2 linked regions of the Arabidopsis thaliana genome follow. The protein of the gene in region 2 interacts with the protein of the main gene of each other region in a pairwise test. Each region holds a gene or a part of one and is shown on either strand. Other genes may lie near its edges.

Region 1 (3,059 bases), on a different chromosome or scaffold from region 2:
GGATCGTTGGGACTTTGTAAGTAGCAAAAACTAACATTCATCTTTTACTCATCAACCTCGATTGTGATCAGTCATTTGGTTTACACAGTGGATACATGGCTCCAGAGTATGTAATGCACGGACAGTTCTCGTTCAAGACAGATGTTTACAGTTTCGGAGTTTTAGTTCTTGAGATCATCAGTGGTAAGAAAAACAGTGGTTTCAGCAGTGAGGACAGCATGGGAGATCTCATCAGCTTCGTAAGTATATTACATGCAAAAGCATTGAGATTTGATCAATAACTGTTAATTCACTTCACTGAGTTCTGATGTTTTGGTAAAGGCTTGGAGAAATTGGAAGGAAGGCGTTGCTTTGAATCTTGTGGACAAGATTTTGATGACAATGTCGAGTTATTCATCGAATATGATCATGAGATGCATAAACATTGGTCTTCTTTGTGTCCAAGAGAAAGTTGCAGAGAGACCAAGCATGGCTTCTGTTGTTCTGATGTTAGATGGACATACTATTGCTCTTTCAGAACCATCAAAACCTGCATTTTTCTCACACAGCAATGCGGTATCAGATAGTTCTTCTTCTTTAGGACATAATGCAAAAACTTCAAACTATAATTCCAACACTGAGTTGTATCCTCGGTGAGTTTGTTTGGACACTGAAATTAAGATTTTCAAGATGATGACTAAATGATGGTTTTGATTAGATTTGAGTCCAACTCACTGTAAGTGAGGAAAAAGAGTGTTACAAGTCTCTGTTTCACTTTCAAGGAGAGATGCTGTTTCTAAGTCATCTCATCTCTTGAAGAAAACTAATTGGGAAAACAAAATGTACAAAAATCAATGACAAAAGTAAGGTTATCGAGTGAGTCATGATCAGTTGAAGCGAGAAGCAAGATCAATAAAAATTTCTTCACTGCAAGGGATTGTGAGGCCACCCATTGGATGATCAAATCCAAACTCTTCCTCTGCCTTTCTTAATAGATCTTGAAATGAAGGCTGGTCCAAGTACGAAACCGGAACTACAAATCTCTTCATATTTTGTTCTCCTACGTAAACCGCTAAGTAGCCTTTGGGAACATCAAGAGAGCTAGAAGAAGAAGATGATGACAACAGTTTGGCTTGTCGGAGAATCTGCTTCGATGATTGCAGCACACGAGGGATTCTGATCGCCATGGATTGTCTTTAATTGTAAGTTAGATGCTTTATTGGAAAATGTGAGAAACTTGCAGAGCAGAAAGGAGTCAGTGATGAGTATATATAGATAAGAACATTACTTGTAGATAACCCTTTATTGGTTTCAAAAGTTTCAGCTCATAAATTTTTACACCAACAAGCAAGCACATGGCTTTGCCGGACCACGGCATGATAAGTAAGGGCCCTATAGTGATCAATCTTCATGATTTCTGATGTGAAGACAGAAATCAATATGACCACTTGTTTGTTAGATAGACACTATAACTAGTCAAATTTTCCTTTCTTGCCACAGAATTTTTTTGAAGGCTTTTGTGACTTTGTCAGTATATAATCAAATCATGTGGTCCTGTCTTTTGAATATCATTGAGAAGAAGGTATGACTTAATCAGTGATAGAGACTTGTGGTTCATTAGGTACACAACTTCATGTCCCTACATAATCTATAGAGAGATTTGGCATGTGATGTCTTTGAGACAAATAAGCCCCAATGAAGTTATCATGTAGGACATCATTAGACACTAACTTCTCAGACACCATTTATTGATTTGTTCTTGGTTTAGTATCTACAACCCAAAGCCATGTGCTCTGTAATTAAAAAGAAAAACCTCAAAAATACTTAATCATTTCTTTCATACGTTCGTTTATATAACAAGTAACTAAACCCCTTTAGATTCACAAACTAAAGAAGATCCAATTTTAAAATCTCAAAGCTTTCTCCAAGACTAAGAAACATTTAAGCTTCAGGAAAACATAAGGGAAAATATGGCTTTTTTGAGGAGTTTCTTGGGTGCTAAGCAAATTATTCGAAGGGAATCATCGTCGACACCAAGAGGATTCATGGCGGTCTATGTAGGAGAGAATGATCAGAAGAAGAAGAGATATGTGGTGCCGGTTTCATACTTAAACCAGCCTTTGTTTCAACAACTGTTGAGTAAATCTGAGGAAGAGTTTGGTTATGATCATCCAATGGGCGGCTTAACAATACCATGTCATGAATCTTTGTTCTTCACAGTCACATCTCAGATACAATGAAGTACTATACTACAACATTTCCATATTTTTTTTAGATTGTTAGCTAATTTCCCCTGGAGATAATTGTAAATTGTTTCAATGAGAGGAATATACAATACATAGATCGTAATTGATCAATGCGTATTTGCATGTTAATACATTTGTGTCTTGTACCAAAAAAAGGAATTATACATTTGTGTCATTTAACTCTGGACACCATACATTTCGTCATTACAGTGAAACGGCAGAATTTGAACACTCATTATTCTGGTTGGTAGTTATTTCCATATTTCTCAAAGAACATTTATGTGACTATTATCATTCCTTGCGACAACTGTAATAATGAGAAAACTTGGTATTTTTTTTGGCTCTTCATATAAGTTGTTTAAAAAATGTATTTTCAAACAATAATTAATAGTGGCCCAAACATAATTTAAAATAGGTTTCGAAGCCCAAAGCCCATAAATTAAACGCCTAACATTCACGCGCTCTTTGACTATGGTTGCTTAGGAACAGATGCGCGTGGGGAAGTTGGCACCGTTTTTTCTCTTGCTTACATCTATTTTTTTTTCTTAAACGTCTATTTATTTGCTTTACGTCATTGTAACGTTTGTTTGTTTTCTCTGTATCGTTAGTTGTTGTACACTTGTACTATGGACGTTGAAACCTGCCGGTTAGTCCGGTTCAGCTAGCATTTTTTAAATGTACATCTATTTTCTTATTGAATTATGTGTATAATGTTATTATTCTCTGACTATAGAGTTAAAATATGTTTTTGTTTTTTGGATGACAAGGTTCAGTTTATTTAAAAAACAAAATAAATCTAACATATATTTTTTCTTATACATTCATTGCATTTTA
Region 2 (4,010 bases):
TATTGCATCAAACTTTTTACCAAATTATGCGTCAAGTCACACCAATTGATGAGGTTGGCCTTATCGAACTAGTGGAACCGTCATATGCGAAACCAAATATAAGAAATGAATGAAAGACCTTTCAACAAAATTAATAAGCAAGTAGAAGTAAATCCAATATCAATATAACAATTGGTTAAACCTAAATTATATGCATCCAATACGAAAATTCTTTTTTTGGTATCTTTTAATCCGTTTATTATATTTGTGGAGCCTAAGTTGCGGATCCACTTGTATTCCTTATTTGAATCATTGTTATCATTTCTCATTGTTTGTGACTCGTGAGCTAGAAGAAACAAAAACAAAAGGATAACGTAATTTTGATATTTAAAGTAAACCACTATAAATCATTGTGTGTGTGTTTTTTCTTGTTTTAAAAGATCGAATTAGGGAGCCTAACATGTTTTTGTCTCAAGAGATTATTATCATTAAAAAAAACAAGTGGAAGTGGAAGTTGTGTAACCCACTTGTTGAATTCTTAACTTCGAAGCACAACAAAAAGATAGACGAAAAACGAAAACTCGATCTAACTTCGACATATGCATTAGATAACATATAGAAATTTAAACAATCTCGTTGATGAAATTGGTCTATCAACACACGACAGTGGTTCTCTCTACAGTAGCATCAAATCGGTGGATCCTTATGAACAGAAAAAACGAGGAGGGACAGAGGAAGGCCAATGAGGGGTCATGCAAAATGGAACTTAGCAAAAGTACCAAAAAGATCCATCCTCTTTGAAAATTCATTTCAGCCCCATAATTATCCATGACATGAATTTCGATCTGAATCTCACAACAAGTAAGAGATCAGCTTTTGATAACATTAAAGAAAAAGGTAAAAAAAAGAAAGACGAGAGACTGAGAAAAGGGCAAAGACCTGTAGGGGTTAAGACAGCTAAGAGTGTTCCTCAGTCGCCCCACAAATGTCTTCTCTCCTCTCTCTTCAGTCTTTCTCAGCTCTCAAATCTTTAAATGGTTCCAAGTTCAATGCTCCCAAAACCCACGCCCACACATGCATCCTATGACCTTTCCTTTTCTATCCATTTTCTTCCCACAAATTACCACTTTGCAAACAAAAGCCAAAAACTCATTTACAAGATGAGTTAATAAAGACACTAACACACAACCAATGTGAAAACAGACGTTTACATGAGATATTGTTACCTCTAAGAAGTCATTAATCATATAATGAGAACATTCTTGCTTCCTAAGTTTTTACAAGATTATTAACCTCTAAGAAAGGAGAGACACTTTTAACGCAATAATAACTACATGATGTTATAAATATAGGAGAGAGTAGAAAAGAATATGACAGCCCTACTAAGACAGAGAATCATCATCGAACAGTAAAGAGGAGAATCTCTGAATATCCACTTTAAACTACTGCCCTCTTGTCTTAACTCTCAGAACCATTTAATTTTTCAGTTATTTTGACCCATACCCTTTTTGGCCTCTTTCCCTGCTTTCCAACACCTTCACACTTACTCTAGGGCTTCCACGGCTATATATATATGGTCCCTTCCTTAAACTTGTATCTCATAATTCACAACCAGCACTGCTACTACTAGTTTATCATTATTCCATCAATTTATTCTATATAGAGTTCTTCTCTGTTTATATTACGATATTGCTCGAAGATTACATACCTGAGAAAGATGGTTAAACCCTGTTGGAGAATAGGTGCCGGTATGGAGAGAAGTAAGATCAATCCCACAAAGGTTGATGGTTTGACATGGTACAAAGATCTTGGTCTTCACACCTTTGGAGAGTTTTCCATGGCAATGATCCAAGCCAACAGTGTGATGGAGGATCAGTGCCAGATCGAATCAGGGCCGCTTACATTCAACAATCCGACAGTTCAAGGCACATTTGTTGGAGTTTACGATGGCCATGGAGGTCCAGAGGCTTCCAGATTCATTGCAGACAACATCTTCCCCAAGTTAAAGAGTAAGACACCGACTTTTTTTATTTCCTTTATTGTTGAATCTGCCAGGCACACTAACACTGGTCTCACATGAACAGAGTTTGCGTCCGAGGGTAGGGAGATTTCAGAGCAGGTGATCAGCAAAGCATTTGCCGAGACAGACAAAGATTTTCTCAAGACAGTGACGAAGCAATGGCCTACGAACCCACAGATGGCATCAGTGGGGTCATGTTGCTTGGCAGGAGTGATATGCAACGGATTGGTGTATATTGCAAACACGGGAGATTCCAGAGCTGTGTTGGGCAGATCTGAGAGAGGTGGAGTGAGAGCTGTTCAGTTATCTGTAGAGCACAATGCCAATCTTGAGTCTGCGAGGCAAGAGCTATGGTCATTGCATCCTAATGACCCCACCATTCTTGTGATGAAGCACCGCTTGTGGCGTGTGAAAGGCGTTATCCAGGTAAACATTCATACATGATAACGCATCTGATAACCTGCACAGAGTTTTGCTTCATCAGTTTCTATGAAATACAAAAGCTTAAGAAAATCATATATTGAAGCCTATCTTGTGTAAGGATGTAAAACTGACTAGCAAATGTGTTATGACCTTTAACCAGGTCACAAGATCCATAGGTGATGCATACCTCAAAAGAGCAGAGTTCAACAGAGAACCTTTGCTGCCCAAATTCAGACTACCAGAACATTTCACTAAGCCAATCCTTAGTGCGGATCCATCAGTCACCATTACGCGGCTTAGCCCACAAGATGAGTTTATAATTCTTGCTTCAGATGGGCTTTGGGAGCATCTTAGCAACCAGGAAGCTGTTGATATTGTGCATAATTCCCCTCGACAAGTAAGTTCAATGCCTAACCCATATACAAATACGTTACATACTAGCACAATGCACACCAAGAACTATTCGTTAATACTAATACCTTCACAATCACAGGGAATAGCAAGGAGACTACTTAAAGCTGCATTGAAGGAAGCAGCAAAGAAAAGAGAGATGAGATACTCAGACCTAACAGAGATCCATCCTGGTGTAAGAAGGCATTTCCACGACGATATAACCGTTATTGTGGTCTATCTCAACCCCCACCCGGTCAAAACCAATTCTTGGGCTTCACCTCTGTCAATTAGAGGGGGATACCCGATGCATTCAACATCATGAACAGATCTTACGGCAAAAACACTTCCTGTGTCAAGGGCAATAAATTGGAGCCAGGGTCAAGAAAAGAACTAGTAGTATAGCTAGAAACAATATTAAGTTATGAGATCTTTGATATGTTCTCCACAAGAAAACATGAATTCTCATGTACCCCTGTATGCAAAATTATACACGAGGGTACTTGCATGCAATATCATCAATGTCAACGCTGGTAAAATTCGAAAGCGTTGCAACATATTGGAGTTTAGGCACAAAACAGTAGATAGCCAAGAAATGTGTTGAAACTTAACATTACATTCCCTTTATAAAAGTTTTCTGGCGCTTCATTCAAAATTAACAGAAAGCAAGTATCAACAAAAGTTTATCTAAAATCTATTACAGAAACAAAGAAACTGTGTAGCATCAGAAGCCAGCAAAAACGCAGTCCCACGAACAGAGAATTTAGAATCTGAGGCTCTCTTTCCTTCAACTGCCATAGAGACCAGAGATATGGAAACCAACAAGTACATCTATAGTTCTAATGATGTCTTACATGACAAAGAAATTCTGAAGTAGCGGCTTGAGAGGTCATATGAAATTAAGTAACCTAAGAACGACACATGTTTATGGGATCCATTTTGCATGCAATATTCGCAATCAAGCACAGAACACCAGTAGACCAGCTAAATTTCGTAACCAAGACTAAGAAAAACTAGCAAAATAGGCACAACTCAAAAGTAATCAACACTTCTAATTTCTAACTAGTTCAAAACAGTAAAAAAATGTCTCCCTTACTTAAATATTTGCTGCATGCAGTACAAATTTTCAATTGCTGGTGCTTGTGCTTGATACGAACATGCAATACTAAAAGGACCATCCACATTCCAATATATTAAA

Evidence for each region. The genes of interacting proteins can lie anywhere in the genome.
Region 1: the proteins of AT5G02760 (region 2) and SAUR15 interact in binary tests that used the Arabidopsis thaliana proteins (3 or more experiments, as listed by UniProt).

The regions. Positions count from the first base shown.
Region 1 is NC_003075.7:18,124,308-18,127,366, forward strand, and holds SAUR15 (SAUR-like auxin-responsive protein family), read left to right. Parts: upstream 1-1,749; 5' UTR 1,750-1,949; coding exon 1,950-2,219; 3' UTR 2,220-2,522; downstream 2,523-3,059. Other genes in the region: CRK26 (cysteine-rich RLK (RECEPTOR-like protein kinase) 26), read left to right, coding at 1-16, 89-239, 322-636; AT4G38840 (SAUR-like auxin-responsive protein family), read right to left, coding at 867-1,166.
Region 2 is NC_003076.8:623,681-627,690, forward strand, and holds AT5G02760 (Protein phosphatase 2C family protein), read left to right. Parts: upstream 1-1,573; 5' UTR 1,574-1,696; coding exon 1,697-1,988; intron 1,989-2,063; coding exon 2,064-2,425; intron 2,426-2,582; coding exon 2,583-2,819; intron 2,820-2,915; coding exon 2,916-3,137; 3' UTR 3,138-3,444; downstream 3,445-4,010. UniProt on the Arabidopsis thaliana protein: Dephosphorylates and represses plasma membrane H(+)-ATPases (PM H(+)-ATPases, e.g. AHA1 and AHA2), thus influencing negatively plant growth and fitness. Promotes the apical hook maintenance of etiolated seedlings.